2 linked regions of the Schizosaccharomyces pombe genome follow. The protein of the gene in region 1 purifies or fractionates together with the protein of each later gene. This does not show direct contact. Each region holds a gene or a part of one and is shown in the gene's direction. Other genes may lie near its edges. The genes, in order: rns1 and fal1.

What was found.
Region 2: the proteins of rns1 (region 1) and fal1 purify together in Schizosaccharomyces pombe (affinity purification with western blotting, with the first as the bait; one study listed by BioGRID). This does not show direct contact.

Annotation. Positions count from the first base shown.
Region 1 is NC_003423.3:3,726,495-3,737,129, reverse strand, and holds rns1 (putative RNA-binding protein), read left to right. Parts: upstream 1-9,018; 5' UTR 9,019-9,061; coding exon 9,062-9,253; exon of another isoform or gene 9,254-9,319; coding exon 9,320-9,425; exon of another isoform or gene 9,426-9,472; coding exon 9,473-9,798; 3' UTR 9,799-10,002; downstream 10,003-10,635. Other genes in the region: Fe-sulfur cluster assembly protein Isd11, read left to right, coding at 1-50; SPOM_SPBC13G1.05 (folding protein), read right to left, coding at 226-342, 405-842, 898-1,181, 1,228-2,338; abh1 (alpha-ketoglutarate-dependent dioxygenase), read left to right, coding at 3,368-4,136, 4,200-4,324; protein Pex14, read left to right, coding at 4,778-5,050, 5,111-5,698; mpg2 (mannose-1-phosphate guanyltransferase), read right to left, coding at 5,906-7,069, 7,170-7,209, 7,273-7,313; nam9 (mitochondrial 37S ribosomal protein uS4m), read left to right, coding at 7,842-7,877, 7,931-8,878; mrh5 (RNA helicase), read right to left, coding at 10,003-10,635.
Region 2 is NC_003424.3:258,500-275,051, reverse strand, and holds fal1 (ATP-dependent RNA helicase), read left to right. Parts: upstream 1-2,709; 5' UTR 2,710-2,728; coding exon 2,729-2,795; exon of another isoform or gene 2,796-2,861; coding exon 2,862-2,882; exon of another isoform or gene 2,883-2,935; coding exon 2,936-4,032; 3' UTR 4,033-4,159; downstream 4,160-16,552. Other genes in the region: PAK-like kinase Shk2, read right to left, coding at 131-1,900; phosphatidylinositol kinase-like protein Tra2, read right to left, coding at 4,305-15,208, 15,270-15,333; plasma membrane potassium ion transmembrane transporter Trk2, read left to right, coding at 15,591-15,696, 15,737-15,891, 15,932-16,552. UniProt on the Schizosaccharomyces pombe protein: ATP-dependent RNA helicase involved in 40S ribosomal subunit biogenesis. Required for the processing and cleavage of 35S pre-rRNA at sites A0, A1, and A2, leading to mature 18S rRNA.

The DNA of each region.
Region 1 (10,635 bases):
CAGCAGAGGGTGAAGTAAAGAAATCGTTTGAGAATGCTTCCCAGAGTTAAAGGATTAGAAGTGGTAAAAATTTGCATTTGATTGCATCATTTTGTTGGTTGCAGAAAAAGCATATGTTTTTAGATATTATAATTTGCGCTTGCATTTGGTCATTATTGTATTAGTTGAACGATTTGGTCTTTAACCTCGAGTTTCGAGTTTCCAAAATTCTTTTACACCGAAAGCTCACCAAATTCTTTTAGAATGCATTGCGTATCGCTCCAATGTCAGTAGAGGGCTTTTTGGAACTGGTAAATCGTCTTTCGAATTGTTTAAAAAATCCTTTGTTTTCTTATCGATTTCCTGTGATACAGTTAGTTACCTGATTTTAATGAAGTTTATGTATGGCTTGTGTTGAAACTTACTATATGACCACGGAAAAAATTATTGGCTTTTCGTTCTCTTTCCCATGAATTTATTTTTTCTTCTCTTTGTTGCATTGATTCATATCGAGATTGTGTAATTGCTAATATAGCTTTTCCCAACAACAATTTAAGCATAATAGCCATGAAAAATAGAAAGGCAATTCCTGATTTACCTCTTACAACTGAAAGTAGTAATGTCTCCCAAGAAGCTTCTTTTCCTGCATTATAAGTATTGGCTTCTTTATTCGGAAGATAATAGACATAATTATCCTTAGTAGGAAAAATAGTGCCGATAGATTTAGCAATTTCTTGTTTCATTGAATGGGTTGAACGAAACATGCTCCAAGTTTGCATGGAAGTTCGAATAAAAACGCAAACTAATGGTAAAACTGGAAGACCCATTCTTCTAGCCACCTGTTGAGAACACCCCGTCACCGTCTTTACCAATGTTAGTGTTATTGTCAAAAATGATAATTAGTGTATTATAACTTACCTGGGTTAGTTGAGCACCCGAAGCAACATAATCATGACACAGAACATCAGTAAAACGCGAATATATCGAAGGTTTTATATAATTGAACTTTATTATAAACGCATGCTTGAGCCAATCGACGAACAGTTCAGAACCTATAACCCAAAAAAATGGTGCCAACAAGGTCTTAAGCCTTTTAAAAGTTAAGAGGGGTTGATCTAACGAAGAAGTCGTGTACAGTTCTGCAAGATTTCTCAAAAATATTATGATAACCATAATGGTAATCTGAAAACGTTCGACTACGTCTAAAATTAAAGTTAGATGATTTAAGCTAATTACAAAATTACTTACCAGAGCAAGTAAGTTGAAAGAGGTTTTCTTTTTCAAATTTTTTGAAAACTGCCCCTTTAATTTCAACTAACTGATTTGACATTAAAAGTGCAAGGACAGCATTTGAATATGAATTCACTGTAACATTTAGGGTGATGATTTGATACAGAAGAACCAATGTATGTAAAACCATGTACGCTAGAGAAATTGCAAAATAATAGAAAAATGTCATCCAGCCAGCTGGATTCCAAAAATTGAAAGAAAGAATATGATTAGAGAACAAACAGTCAAGAACATCCTGACCCAAAGCGCAACACAATCTGTCCGCAATTTCTAAGACATTATACAAAACATAAAATCGTATACTAGCCTGAGCACGTATAATATGGTAAAGCCGACTAACGTCAATTTTTCGAATGAGAATACTAGTAGAGAATATTAAAAGAAGTTTTAAGAGATCAATTTTTCGGCTCCTAGGTAATGATCGGTTTGGTGAGCTATTACGATGGAAAAAAGTTGAAAATAAACCCTGAAAAATGCAACGGCTTAGGGTAAAAAAAGATATTAAGACCCGAATGGGAAATAATGTAAAAATATAAAGGAAGCTGTCGACACTAACAAACCATCCAAATAAAAATGTCTTTTCAATTGCATATGGTGTAGCCAGAAAGTTTTCAACATGCTTTTCTTTAATAGGATTTGCGGGCACAGTATCATTAGCCAAAAGCTCAAAGCATATGTAATTCCAAAAGTTTTGAATTTGAAGTTTACTCGCCCGTAATCTGGAAATGGGTTTGTCTTGGTTGCCAGTTACTGTGGGCTGATCATTCGTTTTACTAAAGAATGTCGTAGAATAGGACCTAGTAATAGGAATAACGTTTTTCTTAGCACTAGTAGAAGCTGATCTTCTAGGATATTCACTTGAAGAACTTCGTTTTGTCAGTGCATATCGGGATTTCGGAAGAGGAACAGCAAGAACAGGCTCGTTTAGATCAGGTTCTTCTTTCTCTGGTATAACGGATTCATTGTCTTTTCCTCCGTCACGTTTATTTGGAAGAAAACGAGAGGTTAACGATGATTCATTTTCGGATTCAAGTGGGTCAGCTTGTCCAGGTGAGGTATTGCTACCCATGGTTTTTTAGCTTTTTTAGGTAAGGTTAAAAGGAGATTATGGGGATTTGGATTTGTGGAGATGTTTCAGCTAAGAAAATGTGTTGATTCCAGTGTAGTGAAGTTTTAATCGAAATAAGAACGATATTTCATGAATTGTGTAATAATCGTTCGTTTGTTTAGAACCAAAAACACATAATTTTATTTTCAAGTCTTGATACTGTTTCCGAGTCTCTTCAATTTACATTCAACCTTGACTGCCAGATACCAAAGTTATATAATCTTACCACAATGTTGGTTAAAGTAAGTACAGGCAAAGATACCAAAAAAGACACAAATCAGTTGAATTATTGCGAATAAAAATTATTTATTCTCTAAATAATGTTGATGTTGAATTGTTGACATAGGTTACTTTAAGATATTTTCAGACTGCGAGTTTAAAAACAAAATCGATTGACATCGGTATATTTTCTATTGGACCTACGTAAATGAATAAATTACTATAAAAAACATTTCATCTCATTCAAGTCTTAAACTGATCCCATCACTTTATTAAAAGTAAAATCTTCTTATTTTTTTCATTCACGACACTGTGTTTATACGAATTGTTTTATAGGGAATTTTGGCAGTGATTATAACTCAATTTGTAGTTACGTATAAAAGTGTTCTATTCTTTAACAACTTCGAATGTTTGCCTGTTTCTTCTATTTTTTGTATGATAAAATACCACTTTTCGGTAAAATGAATAGTATTGTTGGGTCTTGCTGCTTTAAAAGGGTTAACCATTTAAAGCGTATTTAAGAACTTCGCATTTAAAATATGCCAAAGTATATTAATTGAGAATATGTATAAAAGATGTAAAGGTAATAAATATTACGCATTATGGTAAAAATTGAATTAAGTTGTACTATGGTTCTTACTGTATTTAATTATCTATGACTGTCTGGGAGAAAAACCTTGCAAGTGGCCTAAACTTTTTCATTCAGTCTCTATTAAATGATCTGTCGATTTCTCCACATAAAGTTAGTTTATTGAAATGCTAGCGGGAAACATGGAACAGGCGAATGTTTTTCGTTTAGAAGAAAAACGCTATAAATGTCGTGCCGACACAATTCCTGACATGTCTGAGGTCCTTGATCCTAATGATCCCCAGTCTTTTGGATTTGAAGCTTTAGTTGAAATTAAACCTAGAGTTTTTTCTTTTCAAAAAGCTCCTGGATTATTAATTCTTAAAAACTATGTTTCATCGGAACTGCAAATGCAGCTGTTAAAATCTATAATGTTTACGCAAATTCAAGATCCTGAAAACAAGACCAACCTTTCACCATTTTATCAACTACCATTAGGTAATGATAGCATATGGCGCAGATATTACAATGGTGATGGAGAAAGTATCATTGACGGCCTTGGAGAAACTAAGCCTTTGACGGTTGACAGACTAGTTCATAAAAAGCTTCGATGGGTTACACTAGGTGAACAGTATGACTGGACGACGAAGGAGTATCCTGATCCTTCCAAATCTCCTGGGTTTCCCAAAGATTTAGGTGACTTTGTTGAAAAGGTTGTTAAAGAGAGCACAGATTTTTTACATTGGAAAGCTGAAGCTGCAATCGTAAATTTTTATTCTCCTGGTGACACATTGAGTGCACATATCGATGAATCTGAAGAGGATTTGACACTTCCATTAATTTCTCTCTCAATGGGTTTGGATTGCATATATTTGATCGGTACCGAGTCGAGGTCGGAAAAGCCTTCAGCTTTACGTTTACACAGTGGAGACGTTGTAATTATGACTGGAACTTCTAGAAAGGCTTTCCATGGTAAGCATTGTTCATTCAAATACCTCATTTATAGTCAATTGATTGCTTACTAACTTACCGCAGCTGTTCCTAAGATTATACCCAACTCTACGCCTAATTACCTATTGACTGGAAACAAGGCTTGGGATGGATGGATTTCAAGAAAGCGAGTGAACTTCAATGTTAGACAGGTTAGGCCTTCTAGATAATGTAAATATGGTTATTTTTAATAAAATAGAAATTGTTTTTAGGGCTTAGGAATGATTGATACCATAATTACATATATATCATGTGCTTACTTGTTTTGTCAATATTTTGTTCCTTCTATTGAACTTTCGAAAAATAATTTTTTTATTTAACACTGTATTAAACCACCAAACAATAAGAAACAATTTTTTCTTTAATTTGTCAGTTAATAACTTTCGGCGTAATATAACCAGAACAATTCATTAGCGTACTTTCACAAATTAATTTGACAAATTAAACAATTGTGTAATCCCATTCTTAAAAAAACATAAACCTCGACATTTCCAAGCTTGTTTAGAGAATTATCGTGAAATTACTATCTTGCAGTCCGGAGTTTACTCAATATATTTCAGTTGCTTATTTCCATACAACTACTAACTAGCGAATTCGGTACAAAGCATTTGTCAATTTGAAAAATGAGGGAGGATTTGTTAAGAAACTCCGTTGAATTTTTAAGAGAAAAAACTGTATTAGATGCTCCTGATGTGAAAAAGATTGAATTTCTAAAATCCAAAGGTTTAACTGCCGAAGAAATTCAAGAAGCATTCAAGCTAGCAAAAAATCCGCTATTCCCTTCTTATCCTCGATTTGAAAACACTAGTAATTTTGTTTCAAGAGATTGGAGAGATTGGTTTATTATGGGCGTTATTTCGACTGGATTTGCATGGTCGGCGTATTCATTAGTAAAGGTACGTTCAAAAAACTGAACATTTAAAATATTCGTGCTGTTTTAACATAATTAAATTTAGAAATACATAGCACCAATGTTTCGCGCACCATCTCAAAACGCTTATGAAGCTGATAAAAACGCTTTGGATGCTAAATTTCTAGAAGCTCATAAAATACTCGAAAATTTAGATGAACAAACAAGAAAGCTTTCCGAGAGAACTGAAAAACAGCAAGATGAATTGGACATTGCGTTAGATGATTTAGAAGAGACGTTGAATACTTTGAAGCGTACGTCCGAAAACCGAGATCGTGAAATAGCTAGAATCTCACAAGATGTATATACCATGAGTACTATTACTTTACCACAAAGTCTTGAGCAAATTAAGAAATCTCAAGAAGAAGCATTACAAAACCTTTCGAGAGAAATTAGCTCTCTACGATGTTTACAAACTGATTCAAAAAAAGACGACACTTTCGCTACCACATCAAACTCTTCGATACCAGTATTAGAGAATCCTTTAGATACTTCAGAAGGTTTTCAAACTAAAAAGGTTGGTACTGCCTCCCTTCCAGATTGGCAAATATCAATGCATAACGAGGCTTCTAAAAACATTGATTTCAATGATATTGATCCCGCAGAGTCTTACGTTGCAGAAGATGCTTATTGACAGTAATAAAACAAATCACTAATAACAATTAAATTCAGGATTTTTTCTAGAATAATACTTAATGTCATTTAACTGGTCTGTCAAGACGCATCTTAATCATTTAACAATCTGCATTCTGCATCAGCTAATAAATGTATATTATATAATAAAGGAGAGTCAAGTAGATATAATAAAAAGCAAGTTTGCTGCAAGGTTAAATGTAGTATCTTACATCACAATCTCACCAACCAAACCAACCTTTATTTCTTTATGAGGAAGTACAAGGCAATTTTGAACGCGTACTTCATCATGGACTATACAATCGGCGCCCATAACAGTAATAGCTTGGACTTTAACGCTGTTACGCATAATCGTAGTGGAGTGCTGGCTTGGAAGAGTTGGAGAACCTTCGACTCGAGACCATTTACCAATCTTGCAATGGCGGGAAAGAATGGAATGTAAAACAACAGCATTGGCAGAAATTTCGCAATCCTCTTGAATAATTGAGTTTCGAATACGTGCGCCATCCTCGATGCGAACACGAGCACCAATTGAAACATTGGGTCCAATCTTTGCACCTTTGCTAACAATAGCATTAGGATGAATAAAAACCGGCTGAATGATCTCAGCCTCAGTGTCGGGTTTTGGAAGAGTACCATCATGATATGCCTTTTGTAAATACAAGGAATTAGCAGGAACAGCAGAGCCAGCGGTTTTTATTTGACGCCAGAACTCAGGAGTATTATAAGCATAAATGGCTTTAGAGGAATCTGAGCACAATGGAGCAAGCACATCGGTCTCCAAACTGAGGTAGTCTTCCATTCCTTCATCCAAGGACCTGAGTTGCTTCTCGACCTCCTCAAGTCTACGCTCGTACGCTTTTTTGATTTCATCGAATATAGAGGCATCAAAGATATAAATACCACATGAAATAATATTTGAAAGATAGGAGCTTGGCTTATCAACATAATGAAGTACACGCCCAGTACTTGGTTCCTCTACAAGGCAACCGAAGTTAGAAGCATCTTCTTTACTAACCTTAGTAGCCATTAAAGTAACTAAAGCTTTCTTCTCGTGATGAACGTTTAACAATTCTTGTAAGGGAAAACTGCAACACACATCCGCATGCATAACAAAAACATTAGAAGTATGTCCTTTAAGGATTTGATCACGGAAATGGTATAAGCCGCCACCAGTTCCTAAGCAGTTGTATTCACGGAGATACTTGATACGATTGAAACTGGGGAAATGCGAAGCTACTTCGTTGATAAAATCTTTGAAAACGCTTTCATCGTAGAAACCAACCAAAAAGACATCTTTAACACTTTCAATCTTGGATAAAGCCGCCAAATGATGGTAAATCATTTCTCGTCCTCCAATTTTAAACAAAGGCTAATTTAGTTAGCAAAATAGCTCTTATGTTTCAAATGCAACTAGAAAGTAAAACTGGATTACGTATTTTACCAACATATAAATTCTAAATAAGACGTACTTTAGGGACATCAAACGAAAGAGGGCGGAATCGGGTACCACTGCAAAGTAATTAGTTACTGATATTCACGCGTTTAATAGACTTATTTTTCGTTGGTACGTACCGAGATGGACCCCCGACCAGAATGACAGCAGAGGAAATCATAATAGCAATTTAATACTAAAAAATCAATAATGAGTATCAAAATCACCAAAAACGAAAGAGATATACGCCTCTTGAAACTTGGTGTGTGGTTCTGTGCAAGTCCTGTCCAGCTCTCCTTTGTTTAATAAGGAAGGTAGCGCTATGAGCTAACTTCTGCCAGTTCATATTTGCACTTAATAGCCTGGCTGCAGAAGATAATACTCTATGTAACAATGAAATACTAATGTAAATCAATTTAGTTCAAAAACCCATGATCTAAAAATTGTGCTGCAGGCTGAGGCACTTTGCCAGCCGTGAGGAACTTAATGCTCATCATCAGCTGTTTTGCAGAAAATAGTAAAGCACCTTCTAGCTTTGGTACAAATTATAATGCATTAAAACTTAAATAAATAAAATTTACTAATTGAATTTTCGAGTAAAAGTAGCCTTTTTAAAAATTTGTTCTCTTTAATCACCTTTATGAATTTACCATCAACTTCACGCACTACGCTGGAAGATTGGACTCTCGTGACAAAGACTTAATTGCTCATGAAGGGGAAATTTAGGTTCTCTTTAAAGCGCGGTGTATGTTATATATGAAATTATTGATTTTTTCGCTTTTATTAATACATATCTAGCTTTTGCGTCCGTCGTGGAACAAATACAATATATACAACATTGCAAGAAAACAACTACCTGCTCTGAATAATAGAACTTTATATCAAAAAAAATGGAATGCGAAGAAGGAAACAAGGTCTTATCATGGTCCTCAATTACGCGAATATCAACTGAAAAATGCCTTCCGCCCAAAATTGGAGGGGGTTATTTCTTCCTTAGATAATAAGCTTCCCATCCCTTTTATGAATCAGACTTATGCATTTTTGGAATCCCGTTTAGACATGTCTATTCATCGAGCGTTATTTGCGTCTAGCGCTTTACAGGCTCGCCAACTGGTGCTTCATGGAAAAGTGCACGTAAACGGAAAACCTGAACGCCGTGCCTATCGTCAACTCTTACCTGGTGATTTAGTAACTGTTGATCAAAAATCAGTAATGAATTGTGTTTCTGCCTCTAGTAACAATACCCCTTCTATACAGGATGGGAAGCAAACTGAACAGGTGTCCTCTAAGGATGGAGAAAATGAAAAAAAAAAGGATAATGATGATGATTTATTTGAACAGACTTCTAATGGAAAGTTGCCCTCTATCAATGAAACAATTTCCAACTTTGTTCCTAAACCGTTTATGTCACTAATGGCATTTATCCCTGCTTATTTAGAAGTTTGCTTCCGCACTTGTTCCTTTGTTTATGTGCGTGATCCAGTTGCTCGTCCTGGCTTAACGGAAGTTCCTTCTCCATTTCCTGAAGACTTGCACGCTTTAGCCTATACATACTATATCAGAAGTCGTAATATGCGGCAAGGAGCAGCTAGATGTCAGGCCAGACGGCTTATTCCGCAGAAAGTACGCGATGCATCATTTTATCAAGGACCTCCTGAATTATATAAAAAACGAAATGTTTCTCCCAAAGAAGCATTCTCTCATCGGTATCCAGTTCGTCAAGGAAAGTTGACGAAACTCGTATAAATCGAATAAATGAACTCCTCTCAAAAGTTTAGTAATAAAATATAAAACATTCTCAATTATGCTTTTTGTAATACTATGTTGATTTCCACTTTTGTTTTCCTGCTCTATGAAGTAACTGCCCTGTCTACTGCTATCCACGTAACCAAATCTTATACACATACAAGAACTGGCACATCTTTTTTCATGTACCAAAAGGAGGCCTTTTATCGTGGACGTAGCTCAACAAGACAATTTAACAATACCCGATCTCCATCTGGACGTTCAGCGTCGCGTTCTTCCAATTTCTCACATCGGTCTAGTAGTCGTGATTCTTTTTCCTCGAATAGATCTTACTCGAGTTCGCTTTCCAGATCTCCAGAAGAACCATTGCGAACAGTACGTTTTCCATGTATAATTAGTTATTTAAGGCATACTAATCGTTTCTAATACGATGCAAAATAGATTCTTGTGGAAAATTTGACGCGTAATGTCACTAAAGAACATATAGCAGAAATATTTGGGATTTATGGACTAATTGATCATATTTTCATGCCAATTTATAAAAAATGTGAGTGAGCTTTTATTTTTTATGAATTACACCCACTAACTTTGCAGCTGAATTGAATAAAGGGTATTGCTACATAGAATACGTATACCATGACCAGGCCGCAAACGCCGTCGATAAGATGAACAACGCTGAGCTTGATGGTGAGGAGTTGTTTGTATCGATAAAACGTTTTCCTTTTGAGTCACTACACAAAAACCATAAGCACTACGAAAACTCGTATCGACCATCAAGGTCACAAAACAATTCACATTACAACGATAAATCGTTTCATCGCTCCAGATATTCTCGGGCACGTAGCCGATCTCCAGGTTCCAATATATCTGAATATTCTGATCAATCACCCCCCTATCACTCCTATAGACATCGTCCTTAATCCCGCAAATTGTGGCCTACTGAATAAAAAAGAAAAGTGAAAACAAATTTCCAGTTTGAAAGCTTTATTATGTCGTTGTTTGATACGTACCACTACTATTAAAATTTTTGTGAACGGTCGATCCTCTATAAATTATTTTTTGGGAAAATTTTACGAAGTATTTATCGGATGTGCAATTTTCATTGTTCTAAGTCCTATTAGAATTTAAAAGTGTTCGTCGTCAAATTCATAACTTTTCGGTCGGATTCCCACCCTTTGTAGCATAAAGAGAATGCAACGACGGAAATCTGTTTTTTTAAAATCATTGCTTTTATAGTAGTCCGGAATAATGAAATTAAAGATCTTTCCTGTTTGACCCATTGCTCCAAGTCTTCCAGCTATATGCTGATAAGCAACACCAGAAAAAGTACTCCAAAGATGAAATATGTGTGTAATTGAGGGTAAATGTAGGCCTCGAATTTCAGAAGGGTTTGCAACAAATACAACGTTATTAAGGTTAGTAGAAAAATTTAGCGATTCAGTCGACAGTGTTCGACATTGCCAAAAACGGTTACCCACAGCAAACCCTTTATATTGGTTGCAAAAAGAGTGAGGATTAAACTCTTTGGGAAGTACAATCATAACACACTTTAAAATGTTATTCTCGAGTTTTGACTTCTTGGCTTCTATATTTAATATTCGAGGTACTGATTGTGCAAATATTTGTAAGACAGCCTCTGAATTGTTGTATGAAAAATTGTTGTCACCAATACTATGCATAGAATTATTGAATCGAACAAACTCATATGGCAAATTTGTCAAAGTGACCTTTGTTGTTTTTGGTTCAGCTTGAGCTTT
Region 2 (16,552 bases), on another chromosome or scaffold:
TCAAAAGTAAGCTCAAAAGTTTCGCACATGCAAATTGAGAAGTTAATTGAAATTTCTAAAAAACTAGCAAGTTGTATATCATTAAGGATCGTTAAAAATATTCAAATAATCATAAAAGTAAATTTTGGACCTAATTAATATGGGTATTCGCTTTGCGAGAGAAAATGATAGATTTTAGATCTTCAGTCGGACATGCTTGGTTAAGAAATGAATGTGTCAGCAACTCAGCAGCAGTAGCTCTAAAAATGGTATCGATTGTAAGACAGGAATTTAAGAAAGATTTTAAGTTTTTAGAAACTAAATTAGGTTTTTTAAGAGTTGGAGTTCCATTTTTTGCTATCAGATACAATGCACGAATTGGATCCTCTCTGAGATAAGGCGGTTCGTTTTCAATCATCTCTATAATCATAATTCCAAGACTCCATATATCAACTTTGGTCCCATATTCGTTTTGCTTTACTACTTCAGGGGCCATCCAATATGGTGTTCCAACCATCGTAACTCGTTTATTAGTACGGTTAGACAATCGAGCACAAAATCCAAAGTCAGTAATTTTAATATTTCCAGAGTTGTCGAGTAAAACATTGTCACTTTTAATATCTCTGTGAATAATATTTCTGGCGTGCAGATGCTGAATTCCCTTGCACGTTTCTAGACAAATACGAGCAATTTGTGCTTCTGTAAGCTTACTTTTTTCAATAATATCAGTCAAAGATCCAGCGTTCATGTACTCCATCACAACCCATAAATGCCTTTCTCGAACAAGAAATGAATCTAAATATGTCACTATGTTAGGATGAATCGATTCTCTCATGACAGTGATTTCGTTTAAGATTAGTTCCTTTCTTGTTTGGCACTGCAAATCAATACTTTTTATTGCAACTGAGTCAAAAATACCTAATTGTTTTCCTCCGACGACTTTGGCTAAGTAAACAGATCCCGATGCACCCTGGCCAAGTTTATGCTTAACATTAAAATATTCGACAGGATCATGAGAAGTAACTGAGTCTTTTAACATGGCTAAAGCCTGTCTATCAGTCATTCTTCTACTCAACGTGTTCTTTGAATCTGCTTTGACCGGTACTTTGGTTACTTTTCCGGTCATGATAGATTCTACATGACTTTTGTCTTCAATAAAAGGCCTTATGATATGCTTTTTATCCGTCTGTATGGTTGTCTTCGGCTTGCATCTTTCAGTAATATTCATTTTAGTAACTCCAGATGTCGTGAGTTTATGATGTTTGTCAGCATCGCGAATAGAATACGATGTAGTAGAGGATCGTGGCAGTGTCTCTTTGCAAAATGAAAAACTATCTTTAGTTTCGCTTGTTGTATCCAACTGCTTACTATAAAAATCCAAAGCTTGAATAACTGCTTTCGGCTCCTCCATGCATTCTTGTTTGGTAATCGAACTACTCTGAAGTAGCAATATCCACTCCTTGGGTAATCCGACATAATTTCCTTCATTATCAATTCCCACATGCACTTGGTGTTTAGGATTCATCGGACTTGAAACTTTGCTAGCAAGCGCACGAGAAGATATTAAATCCATCCACTCATAACATTCCATATTATCGGCCACGGACAATTCACAAGCTTGAATCTCAAAATTTTTGGTACTACTTTTGAACCTCAATTTAAAGCAGAATGTCCTAGACTTTGAACGCTCTACTTTTTGAATATCCTTCAACAGCAACGTAACCTGAGCACTTTCAGACTTGCTTCCTTTATATATCGACAGAGAATTGCTAGAAAGTACTAGCCACTTTTTAGTCCAAGGGAGATACTTCATTTTATCTTCCTTCAGCATAACCCATCCTGATCGAATGATTCCCTTGCTTTTCTTTGTATCTTTGAGAGATGGAATTTCAACCGGCACGCCTCTTACACTTAAAAGCATTTTGAAAACGATGCAATAGTTTTGGTATACATGCTTCTTTTATACATTTTAGCTCAAATGTATAAACAAAGAAACCCCATTTATAAACAAAGAGAATGCAAAAAACAAAGAAATGTTATGAAAAGAGAAGTCAATTGACGTCAACAGTAGTGGATGAAAAGTAATTCTTAATTAATTAGATTAAGTCTTACAATTGCAATTTGCAATCTTATCGCAAGCGAACATGACATTGGTTACAAGATTCATGACAACGCTCACAAATGTAAACTGTGTATAGCATTTATAATATCTGAGAGTGATTTTAGGTAATTTTTAGCATGGAAATGTATAACTGAATTTATGCGAAGTGGTGGGCAATTCTGGTTAGGAAACATTAATTGATAATGGGTTTTGACTAGCCGATAATTTGCATGTTAGTGCTAGGAGAACTTAGATTGCTAAAACGGAAATTAGTATAACAATTCTAGGACGAATTGAAATGTTGTTTAGACTCTTAAGGGTGGTGTTCAACCATTGCTCCAGTTGTAGAAAATTAATGTAAGACTCTCATAATTTTTTCGTGTAATGTCTAATTCTAAGAAACCGCTAGTTTACTTTTTATACCATTATCTAACAAGTTGGGAGTACTGAAAATAAACAACATGTGAATAATAAGTTCATCTAAACTTCTTGTCAATATTTAATAAAGCTTTCCGTACAATTGAAATTTTTTAAAGGAATATTCTTTTATTTTTGTAACTAACCAAGCTTTCTATTTGCTTGTCAAATTTTCTCTCCTTCATTTTCCTCAAGTTGGGCTGACATAACATAACTACTACAACTTCCATTATGGCGGACGAAATAATGGAGAACGTGGAGCTTACGACATCGGAAGATGTGAATGCTGTATCCTCTTGTAAGTAAATTATATTTTTTTATAATATGAATACTTACTGTGAATGATGCTAACATTGTTTTGCAGTTGAGGAAATGAATCTTAAAGGTTAGTTAATGAATTGATAAAAATTTCCATAATTTTGTTCTAACAACATGCAGAGGATTTACTTCGTGGAATCTATGCGTATGGCTATGAGACTCCGAGTGCTGTGCAAAGCCGGGCGATTATTCAAATCTGTAAAGGGAGAGACGTTATCGCACAAGCTCAATCTGGTACAGGGAAAACAGCAACTTTTTCTATTGGTATTCTTCAGTCGATCGATTTATCAGTCCGAGATACTCAAGCTTTAATACTTTCTCCTACGAGAGAATTGGCAGTTCAAATCCAGAATGTTGTACTTGCATTGGGTGACCATATGAACGTTCAATGTCATGCTTGTATAGGCGGCACATCCGTTGGAAATGACATCAAAAAATTGGATTATGGACAACACGTTGTTTCTGGCACTCCTGGGCGCGTAACGGACATGATTCGTAGACGAAATTTGCGAACTCGCAATGTTAAGATGCTTATTCTTGATGAAGCGGATGAGCTCTTAAATCAAGGCTTTAAGGAACAAATTTATGACATTTATAGATATTTACCCCCTGGTACACAGGTGGTAGTTGTGAGTGCTACCTTGCCTCAAGACGTGTTAGAAATGACTAACAAGTTTACCACTAACCCTGTTCGAATATTGGTCAAGCGCGATGAACTTACTCTTGAAGGCTTAAAACAGTACTTTATAGCAGTTGAAAAAGAGGAATGGAAGTTTGATACTCTGTGTGATTTATATGATACTTTAACCATTACACAAGCTGTGATATTTTGCAATTCTCGTAGGAAGGTTGATTGGTTGACGGAGAAAATGCGAGAAGCTAACTTTACCGTTACCAGTATGCACGGTGAGATGCCGCAAAAAGAAAGAGACGCTATCATGCAAGATTTTCGACAAGGAAATAGTAGGGTTCTCATATGCACAGACATATGGGCAAGAGGAATTGATGTTCAGCAAGTTTCATTAGTGATCAATTACGATCTTCCTGCAAATCGAGAAAACTATATACATCGCATTGGTCGCAGTGGACGATTTGGTCGTAAAGGTGTAGCTATTAATTTTGTTACAAATGAAGATGTACGCATTCTTCGGGATATTGAACAATACTATTCTACTGTTATAGATGAAATGCCTATGAATATAGGAGATATGGTTTAAATTTTCCATTGGAAAAAAAAAGCTGGTTTTTTTTGGATTATTGTACAGATTTGGGGGAAAACTTTAAAATAATAACTGTATATTTAAATTAATTTCCATTTATGTTACCCAAAACTTTCTATGCGTATTTTTTTGGTGTCATTTAGATCATAATTTTTTGGTTGTAAGATCCTGCAAAAGAAAAGTATTAGCATTTTCTCCTAATAATAAATAATCTGAGCATTCGTAGCAATTCAATATTAGATGAAACCTCAAAACTGATTTGCAATTTGTTAAAGCCAAGCTTGCCAAAGTTGATCCATTTGCGCCAGCTGCTGAGGATTAGTTGCTTGAGATACTAAATCCACCAAAGTCTGATTCAGTGGAAGGTCCTCTGGTACATTATGAGATATGACCGATATTCGACGAAATAATAATTCAACATTTACTTTCACGGTTTCGAACAGCTGGATTCCCTGAGGAATTGGCTTTCTTTGCTGCTTGGACCACCAGAAAACTTCATCACGAACATAAAGACTTAGATACTGCTTTATATCAGTAGTAGGACTTGATAGACTTTGCGCAATGCTCATTACTAATCCCGAAAGTAATCCTTCAACTCCCAAATCAGAAATGAGGTATTGTATTGGAGGCGTTAATCTAAACGGAACAGCCTCAGTATTGTGAAATACAGGTTGGTTGGAAGTCATAGAAGGTAAAAGGTCTTGCGACATCACCTGGCCAGAATCCTTCACTATGAACAGCTTTTGAGGGGATCGACCTCCAATATTGAATACATAAGTCATAATAATCATGTAAGCATATTGCGTTGTAAATGTCCTGCGGAAAAACCAAAAGTCACAGTACCTTTCAAAGGTTTTATAAAAGTAGTCATAGTATATGCTTTCAGGGAAAACTGATGAATTCAGTGTTTCGAGTAATTGCATACGCAACTGCAACGCTCGTTGACGAAATATTTGCTTTTTCTCTTCCACCGTACTATTGCTAAGCATAGAAGCACTAGCTCGCTTCAATTGAATAAGACCAGTCTGCAATCTATCAAAATAAAAACGAATTCCATAATCTAAAGGCATCCCCCTATTTTTGCAGTACTCATCACTTATAGTTTGCATTGTAACATAAGAAGGCTTATCAGCAATTATCCGCATATGTGATGATAAAGGAATTGAAGACGGTATTTGAAAACTGAAATTTCGATTCTGAATTTCTATTTTAGAGCGTAATACAGTATTAAACGTGCCAAGCAACTGAAGCATGCGCTCTTCACGTCGACTGTGTCGAGTAGCAGGATATTGTAATGCAAAAGGATAAAGTTTTCCATCGTATCCTCTAAGAGTAAGTCGCTTATAACACATAGTATGGCCTCGTACCAAATCAACGTTTGGAACAAAACGTTCCAATCGTACAAAATCATTATTGTTATTTTTATCGAGCAAATATTGACCAGGAATCTCAACTTCGTCAAACTTTTGATGTTGAAATTCACTCAAGTATAAACTACACTGTTCCAAATGAAGAAATTTAGGTCTTTGATCCAGTATGTTTTCAAATTTCTTTCTCCACATACGTAATTTGTCAACATATGTTAATAAGTCTAATTTTGTTTCAACAAAATCCCGTAAAAATGCTTCTCGCACTGATACAGGAAGAACGTTTTCAGCAAATCGTTGAATGTTGGCTTGAGACATAGGTAGCTGGAATGTATTTTTTGATACAACGCCTAAACGAGATATGTACTGAAGGCCATCATTTAGAAGAGCGACAATGAGCCTGTAGGCATCCTCTTCAGGAAATGATTTTAGTCGGGTATGTATTTGGTCGACCATAGTTTCCATAGTAAGAGCCAGCAACGGATATGCGGTTTTAAGGATAGATGTCACATCAGCAATTAGCTCCCACGCAGGTTTGACGGTTGATATTTGGTGTTTCTCAGAAGAGTCTATAGAGGAAGGGCTTCCATTCTTACTGTTAAATTGGCTAACGCTTGAAAACGAGCCAGAAGGAGAGAGATCTTTTGATTTATTATCCGAAGAAGAATCGTTTTCACGTAAACGACTATTTCCCCTTAGTACATTTGCCGCCTGTTGCTTCTTAAGCATTAGGAAGTCTTCATACGCGGTACGAAGCTGAAAATGAAGAGATTGGGGATATGTTTTAGCAATTTGAATAAGAATTGCTCTTGCATGGATTGATTCACGATGTGATAAGGCCGACAAAAGCTGTGGAATAAACGGAATCCAGTTCCAAGTAGGAATTTCCGACTTAAAGGATGAGACCACTTCTGAGACAGAACCGTGAGAATCATCTACCGACAATAACCAAAGTACACGTGTTAAAAGGGGTTTGGAGTTAGAACTCGACAACAGAGAAGATGCTTGTAAAAAACAACTCACAGCATTACAAGCATGATGGATCTCTTGAGGGTTTGCCTGAAATAGTTCATCATGGTACAATCCCCATTCACTCCAAGCCTTTCCTGAACCAATATCTATTTGCACAGCAGTTGCAAATGCCTGATTTGCTTCATCTTTTTCTCCAAGCCTGTTTTGAAACATCCCTTTTAGAGTAAAAAATTCCGCCTTCTGTCGATTCCGAAAGTACATTAGGTTTGTATTGTTGATGACTTCCAAACCCAGCTGCATTTCAGAAGGAGATTCGTAATGACACTCAGCCTGTTCTCTCAATTTCAAAAAAGCCTCTTGAATTTCGATGTTTGGTAGCGTATATATCTTTGTCAGCTGATTGATGCAAACTTCAGGTAAATGATGAACTCTGGCAACATGAGCGAAGCGGTTTATTATCCAGGCCAGCTCGTGGTATCCTCGATAAAGGTAAGAAACCGAGTTTGTATTAGACTTGTTTGTTGACTGTTGAGCAATTGAAACAAGAGGAAGGAACACTTTGTTGATTGATTTAAAAACTGACTGACGCCAAGCTATTAAATCACTCCATATATCAATATCATCCCAAACATTTGGCAAACGTTCCCTCCAACCTTGAAGGACGACTTTTATATCCCGCAACTTATTGTCAATATTGTGAATGTTGGTATCATTTAACTGGCTGTATATACCAAAAGCTTCCTGTAACTCTACAATTTCCTGAAAGTGATGTAGAAGAGAAACATGCGATTGATACACGCGTTTGGGTAGCTGCTGCCAACGCCTCAACGAAAATTGCATACACTCGTCAATTATTCTAGAAAACTCTGTAACAGATCCCATTTTCCTCTGGGTTTTATTTAGGTATAACAACGCATCAGCAGTATGCCGCCTAAGGCTTGTGAAAGGAGATAAAGACTTCGTAGCCTTTTCTAAGGTATCTTGTTCGGTACTCCAGTCAGATAAGCGCCATGCACATTCTAGATAAAGTTCAGCACATCCTTCTTGTTTTGAAAAATCAAAAAGTACATCCCATTGGTTTAGCTTTTGAGCACATAAAATCCAATGATCCAGCCAAAATCCATGTTCAGTAGGTGAATACGGTAAACTTCCTGTACAAACTTTTAATTGCGCATGCTCATAAACCAATTGAGCTTTTTCCCACTCATGGCATTGTTCATGAGAAGTTGCAACTTCGGTTTCCAAAAAATTCGCACGTCTTCTCCAAAGCCCATGGTACAAATCATGTTCATCCAAGCTATAATAGATATCGCTGAGAGCATCAAGACAACTTTTATGATACACTGTTAATTCATCTTCAGAAAGACCTGGATTGTTTTGCAAAGAATTTTCTAGTAATAATATACAATAATGGTGCAATCCATATGTCTTACTCAAATATACAAGAAGATGAGGTGGTAATGGTATAGGCATGTCCGAGGATACAATCGACGTTAAAATGGTCTCCAAGACATTAGGTGTTTTCCCAAGAAGCCTGATGTGATATTCACGAGAAAGAAAAGAAATTATTGAACCAATACACAAAGGGATTTCATCCTTTGTAAAGCTGCAAACTGAAGCATTAAAAAAATCTCGCCATAAGTACTCCGCAATTTTTGAATTTGAAAACTGTAAGCTCAAAACTGGAAGTACAAAATCAGAGACTAGCATACTGTTTTGATTGAAATCAATTATTCCATACTTTAGTAAATTGTTATGTAACATTTCGGTATCTTGCGCTTGGGAAGTCAAATCCTCATCGAATTCTCGACAGTAGATAGAAAAACAAGAAAATAACTTGGGCTTTTTATAAAATTGACATCTTTGGTTTAAATCAAAGCAACGGCTTAAAAAAATGTTCAATTGAACGATCCAGTAAGTATTAGAAAGTGATTCCCAATGTTGACTTCCCAAGAGAAATTGAAAACGAGAAAATAGATCAGATGGGAAACTAGAATTTAAGCCTTTTATAAACCTTTCCTTCAATTTCTTATTCGCAACTCGAGTACCTAGAAGATACACTGCTTCTAATCGAAACGTCAACTCACTATTTTTGTATGGCTCCATTTCGTAAATATCAGCTATAAACGATAAATATTTGTTAAATAAATCATTTTGTTCATTTTGGCTGAATCTTCCTTCAAAGGTTACCATTTTTAATAGTAAAGCAGCTTTCTCTTTCACCGTTGGAACAGGAACCGGAGAATTCATAATCCAACCTCGCACAATTTCCAATAGATAATTACAAATTTCGTAGCTTGAGGATTTTTCAATTATTTGTACCAAGGCACTTAAAAACCATCGTCTTTGATCACCAAGATAGCTGATGTAAGAACAACCCAACTCGATCATTGACTTTAAAATAGATACTCGTTCATCAACAGCATTAACAATCTGAAGGTTAAGTGAGTTTCCTGATGGCTGACTTCCTAACGAAAGAAACTCCTTGGCAACTTTATGGAAGCAACGCATAAAACCTGGTAAAAGAGTATGCAAAGCATCTTTTTTATACTTAAAGAAACATTCAACACAAGGTAAGGTCACTTCTATCTGGGAACAACTCTGAAGCCTTCTTTCTGTCCAACTAGCAATAGACGTCCAAATGTCGTTGAAAATTGGATTTCCCGCAATTGAAGGATGAGTGTTGGAGAGCGTTAGTATAGTTGAAACAAAATTTCCAATTGCACTCTGTACACCAACTGATTCATTTTCTAAAGATTTTTCTAATAAAAACTTCAAATCGGAAAGGTTTTCTTCTATCCACGCAGAATCTGAGTGCCCCACCACGATTGACAGGGTTCTTAGCGAATTGGCAAACATCACTGAATTGGCATCAGTAGCATCAAAATGAGTAATACTCTTCGTAAAAAAAGATAGTTTCATCCCTAAACTTGCCCATGTACCGGATGAAAGCAAACGCTCTAGTAAAGAAATAGCTTCGGAACACAAACCTTCTGTGAAGGGTTCAGAAAAAAGGCACACAAAACGAAATAGGTAACTCAATATAGCTCTCTTCTGGTTATTTGAAAAAATTTCCTTCTGGTCAACTTTAAGTTGGAGATCATTCCATTCTAGTAAAACCTTAATTAAGCCTAAAGATAGAGCGCGAATCTCAGGATTAGGGTTCGGAATGGCTCCAAATTTGTATAAAGAATCAATTAAAATCGGAACATACCTTCCCCTGTGTTCGATAAAAATATCGGAGTGACTACTAATAAAATCGTAAACATTGAGCAGCTGTGAAATATTTTGACTTTGGCTGCTAATAACTTGTAAAGGCAATTCAAACCAGATAGGTGATTTCTTGCTTTCTGGCTCCTCAGAAAATATGTACGAAAATATGTTGTCAAAAGAAGATTTTACCAAATGTCGAACTTCAATAGGGGAACTTTTCAAAAGAGCCATATACACAACGTTTACTAGCTCGTACGGAAATTGTGATCGTAAAATGAATAAAGACATGACATAAATCGATAATTGTTTAATCATCACGTCCTCTGAATTTCCAAAGAGACTGCACATCTTAAGCATTTCAGTCTGATGCTGTACAGTAATTTCTGGGACATTTTTTAAAAAAAAAGAAATTATTTGTAAAGCGCCTATTTTTATTCCCTCATCATTAGCATAAACATTAGTGGAAGGATGTTGGAAAAAAACTTCGTAAAATATAGAAAATATTTGATTACATTTTTCAAGAGAAGACACATTCTGATTGAGATACGTGAGAAGAATGCCAGCCAAGTTTTCCTTCAATAAAAACCCGTAGTCTTTTGATAAAATAAGGTTTAAAATCAATTTAACATTGTTCTCTAAATCAGGTTCTTCAATTTTTTTTACCAAATGAGCCGTAAGGTCACTTACAAGGTTCTTGGCCAATGAGTTTTTATACATGTGAAAGCATGACAGTAACTTGAGCCCATCGTCATAATTATATATGCATAAATCATACACTTCCAACAAAAATGTTGAGGTACGAACCAACAGGTCGTTCCAAAAAACCATGGATTCCAAAATGGACTCATTTTCAACCAGATGGCTTATTGCTAGCACGGCATCCATCGAGCCTCTAAAAAAGTCATTTTTATCTTTGAAGAAAGAAGGATCACGTTGTAGTATTACAATGGCAGAGTCCAAAGCAAATGAATAGCGGTTAGCAGTTACAGTATTGATTTCGTTAGTTAAAATGGTCTGAAAAAATAACCAATTATCCTTCACAACTGAAAGTAGGGGGTCTGAATCTTTAAGTCGAAGTAACTCAACAAAAACAGACGTAAAAGCGGCCTCATCGTATCTAACCATAAAAAATTTCCAAGCATCTTCGGGATATCTATTGACATATTTTAGCAAAGGTTCACTGAAATAATTAGGAAAGGTTCTTTGTAGTCTCAGACTAAATTCTACAACACAAATTAACAATTCATCCATAAATCTATTTGCGTTATTTGGTAATAAATGAAAAAGATCAATAAGAGCTCGAACAATTTTCATTTCAGTTTGACAAAACAAAGGAAGACTAGACACCTTTTGGAAATCAACATTTTCAAGTAAAGCCTTTAAATGATCTAGTAATTTTCTTCCTATCTCGACCTTAAAGTAATTTGTGAGGAGGCGTAGCAGCCTTCCCAAACCTTCAAGTCCTGCAACGCTTAACCTTCGATAGTCAGATATATTATACAGTATTGGACGCAAAGTTGTTTGTAACAATTCTTTTGATAACTTTTGGTCCTCTTGCAAAGCGTTCTTGAGACCTAATGATGCCGCTTCAATAAGCTCCTTGGACTTTGCATACAAAGATTTAAAAAAAACAACAATAATTCCTTCACGTAAGTGTGCATGTTGAGGGTTATTAAAATCAATCTTCAAAATGCAAGTACTGAGTAATTCTACACATACTACTCTCAAACGTATAAGAAGTGCAGCGTTTTTGAAGTGAGAAGTTTTACCAATTCCAATAAGAGCATCATCGTCCGCTTCTGCTAAAGCAGTGGTTTCATGAATAAGACGAATTAATTCGTCGGAAAAAGTAATCAATTCACTTCCAAGACTTATGCAGTAATTTACAGCATCGATATGTCCAATTTGTATATGGAAAGGTAATGCTCGAAGAGGTTTTGCAAATATTGGTGAGAGAAGTCTTTCTTTGAAAGGTGAAACTAGTTTAACAATCGGAGTATTTGAAAGTTCCGACAATAAAGAAAGCAATTTTTGGGTAGAAGAACGGACCACAGAATTATGATTTGACAATTCCAATACTAGATGCCCTAAAATTCCGGGAGCAATTTCAGTATCTTTGGAAGCATATATTTTTCGAAATAACTGCTTTAAAACGTCCATCACGTGATCCTTACAGACAGTAGGGACTTCTGAGGTAGTATCTTTCAATGTAAAAAATAGCGCAGTTAAAATATCAACTTGTCTGTCAAAAAGCCATTTAGAAGAATGATCTTGCTCTATCAAACATTCCAATCCAAAACAGCCTCCGTATTTTTTATACCAATGAGGGTCATAACATTTGTGCCGGAAATCAGATAATAAGACCTCAAAAATTGGAAGGATAAAAGCCCTTTCTGGATTTTCAAAAATCGATTCTAAAAAACTAAACATAAATTTAAGTACATGTTTCACAGCATCACCCATCTTGCTATTGTCATTACAAACGACTTCTGATAGACAATGAGCAAAATAATGAGGACTAATAATAACCTCCTTTTGCAAATTAGTCGTAAATTTTGAATGATTTCCTTGAATAACGTCAAAAGCATAAAAAATATCGTGTACAATTACGTTGACCGCCAGTTTTTCAAGCCAGAAGTAAGCTTCTTCGCGGAGTTCATCAACCGTCGTAGCAAAAAAAAGTCCATATGTAGCCGAGGCCAAAATTATGGTTTCATCTGAATCATCACTCAGTTGGGTGAATGAACTCCTTCCAGTCATTCGGCTCGGTATTACAGAATATGGTCGTCGAAAATCAAAATTACTCTTAGAAATCTTGTCTGCAGTACATCGAATGGATGAGGCTAAGCTGTTAGTAGCGTCACTCTTATAAACATAGAGCTTTGAAATATTGCAAACATAAGTGAACGCTTGTTGCTTAACCTCCAGATCACTAGAAGGGCTAGAAAGCAAATTCACAGCCTCATCAACATATTGGGTGTAATGTAAAAGTTGTGGTTGTTTAACCCCTTTTATCGAAAGAAGTAAAGTAAAATCGTTATTCGGTTCCGGCGAATTCTTTAAACTCTGGACTCTATCAAGAAGCTTCCTATTTCTTCCACCAAGTTTACCAAGTATTTTCAAGGCAGTATGGCTGTGATTATAATTATAAGGAAGAGGTTGTAGATGACTCCATAAAGCATTCATTAGATCTTCTATGTAAGGAGCCATTATCGGATCCAAAAAATCAGGAGTGAGATTATCCAAGCATAATTCAAAGGTTCGTAATCCCTGACTAACTAATTCTTGACTGCTTTTTAAAGACATGACGAGAGGTCTCATTAGATAACTCATGTATGGTAATAAAAGACTAAGCCTTACAGGAATAGTAAGACAAAGTTCGGTAAAAAGGTCTTTCTCCTTCGGAGTACGGGCAGATATAAGCAATGAATTAAATGCCTCTAATAGAGCGTGCAACAAAGGCATTACTTCTTTATAAAGGCTTTCAAATCTTCCCCCACCAATTCCTCGGAACAACGCTCTTAATAGATAATAGTAGTTCAATGAATTAGCAGAATTGGGAGCCAACTTCATACATTTCACAATAATTTCAGATACATAAGGCCGAAGAACTGGCTCATTCTCTGTTGCAAACATTGAGACTGTAACGAAAGAAAGACGAAACAAACGCAACAAGACAGAACCATGCCTGATGTCAGAAGATCCGAGTTCCTCAATTCTGGAAAGCAGAAATCGAAGTAAAATATTTAAAAATTTTGATGATGTGCTCTCATTTGAAAGCAAAAACTGTGGAATGTGAAATAATGTGAGATTTTTTTTAAGTTGATCAAAAAAAGTAGGAAGGTTTGTTTCAAAAACTTTAAGAAATATAGATGGCTCGAGATGTATAAAAATGGTAGCAAATACTTCAAGACAATCTTTCTCGTCTTTGTTACGAGGAAGCGTAGATATAGCAGGGCGATCTAAACTTTCTTCTTCGCAGCAGAAAAAAGTTTCTAAATAGACTTGCTCAGGTCGAAAATATGAGAATCCTTTGCCAACCTCAAAAAAAAGCTTCTGAAACGTAACAGCTTCGAAAGGCTTGATATTCGTAAGGAATCCCGAAAATTGTTCACCTCCAATTTCTATGCATCGAGACTTGCATGTACGAAGCCCATACATAAGAGCCCGTAAGCCAAACATCAAGTTTTTAAAAAGAAATGATCCATCATTGACGGAAGTGCTAAATGAAGATAAATCCCTAGGAGAAGAACGCGTCGGTGACTTTGTCTCTTTAATTTCTTCTTCATACTTTTTCTTAAAAAACTGATCCAAACTATCATTAAGTTCCGAAAACTTATTTACAAAGCTATCAAAAATAGATAAAAGAAGAAATATAGCATCGGGGATGCTAGGAAGACTAATCATTCTGTCAACCATGTTTAAAATGAGCCGGGCACCCATAGTCTGTAACCCAATGCTAAGAGTCAAATCATGCATATTGGTCGAATAAATCATTATAGATTTTCTTATTTGCGTTTCGTTAAGTTCGTCACGTACATGATGAAGTAAGTCAGCTAATGTACTAAATGCCAAGGGACGTAACAGCTTTTGAGTACCAACTCCATTTCCTAATAATATATTTAAATCTAACAAAAAATCCAGCTTTTTGACAAAAAGAGATTTTAAGTTTGTTGACAGAATATGTCTCGTAGCAACCAGCAGTTCTTTACGGGCAAAACACATATCAAAAGGGCATCGCCTCAAAAGCTTTATTACAATGTCCGGTATTATATCCTTCTCAGAAAGTGTATTGGGATGAGTTCGTAAAATATAAGCCAAGAAAGATAAAGTCTTTACTTGAGCCATAAAAAAATTACGGTACTGATATTTATTCCTTATAAACTCAATAAAGTCAATGCTTGAATCTTTTTCAATCATTGCATATGAAGCGATGTCTATTGGAACATCAATTTGTACCATCTTAAGAAAACAGGGAATTATGGCTTGAACACCAGGGAAAGCAGCTTGACGATATGCTTGAAGAATCAAAACTATAATGACCGGACACTCTACATACACGCGGAAACTTTGAGAAGCCAGTTCCAAAGGTTGAGTAGAAATAGCTAAAGAATTGACACGCTGTTGGATGATTGAAGTTTCCGTAGACAGATAACTACCAAAAGCCAGGGTTGTATTTTCCTCTTCATTTGATTTTGGATTCTCGACAAATATTGAGGGAATTAAATAAGGAAGGTTTGTAGAAAGCTCAAGTACCAAGTCAAAAAAGGGTTGTGCAGTGCTTTCTATACAAAACTTAAAAGTTTTGAATATATCCATAATAACTTTTAAGCAAAAAACAGCGACTTCTTCATTATCTGCTTTAATCAAGCTAATGAACGAAAGCACACAAGACTGCGCATATTGTTTAAATTCATCACGGTGAGCGCAACTTTGTATTAAAGTCAATGCTTCGATCTTGAGTTCATTGACAGAAGAATTTCTATAAAGATTCACCTCTGTATTTCGTAAAAAATCCAAGAGTAGTGGAATTAATTCTGCATACAGCTGCGAGGCGTCTGAAGATATGCTAGAAACCTTAGTAATTAAAATTTTAGTTAGTTTGATTTTTTCTTCTATTTCTTAAAAAAAGTTAGTATAAAATAAAAAAATGAATCAAAATATCTACAAAAATTTATATACCTGTACTTTCAGCTTTCAGTAGCTCTATAGAGCTGCTGAGCGACTTTTCAAAACCGTCTTCCATAACAAAGTTCGGTCCATGCAGATACTTTTTAATAAATCTTTGAAACCAAACTTGATACACTACGAGATTTTGGACACAGCTGTAAAAAAGCACAGAACGATTACTGTCAGATGTTGTTTAGTTGTTGCTATGTTCAAGGTGAATCGTATAGTGAGGACGCAAAACTGCACTATTCAAGAAGCCACTGAAGCTATTTGAAATCGACGTGAGTGTAATTTTTATCAAATACAATATAATACTGCTTTATAAACTATGACATGTTTGTACGATATAGAAGGTTTTTAAGAAGGAAAATATTATACAGATTTTATCATGCAGTTATCGGGTTTTTCTACAAACGGTTCCGGTTCCTTGAATACCATTGTATGTGAAAAACTTCTTTTCAAGCCTAACTTTGTTCAAGATTCTTTTATAATAGGAATGACTATTTTATGTTCAGTAATATTGTATGGGTCGGGAAATTTGCGCTACATAGATGCTTTGTTGTTGGCTTCTGGTTCTTGTACTCAGACTGGCTTGCAGCCTGTGGACCTCACGCAGATATCCATTTACCAACAGGTATGCATATTTTTAAATAAATTTTTTAACTATTTTTTAGTTAACTATTCTCCTTTTTGGAGTTTTGAGTACACCAATTACTGTGAACCTGGGCTTGACTTTGTTTAAGCTGTACTTCTATAACAAGCGATATGACATGGTCATAACAAATAATAAACTTAGGATGACATATACTTATCACACTGTAAGAAGAAGGGATACTCCAGAGCCTTCCAAAGTTGGCAATCGAAAAATTCGGGTTTTGTTAGACCAGGGTAATCAAATGCACCGGCCAGTTGCCCCAGAGACTAAGGCTGAGGAAGCTGAACACCAAGAGAATGAAAAACATCACAGGCACCATTTTCGTCTAAGGAAATTTGCTAATGCAATCGATCGCCCAAGCTTCTTTCGCGGGAATACCATGCCCGCTCTCCCTAGTTATGCAGGTGTTAGAAATTCTCAAGAAAATGAAGACAGAACTGAAGCATTAAGTCCAGCTCTTGGGAAACGAAGAATGGCATCAATCGACAATGGATCTTTATCCGTTGTACAAAACAATGCTAGAAATAATCCTGTCGACTTTTACATTCCTAGTTCGTTTGAAGAATCATCTTTTCAAACAATTCCTGAGGATTTTGAGCCTCAAGTACATGACCACGAGAATCAAACACAACTGAACCAT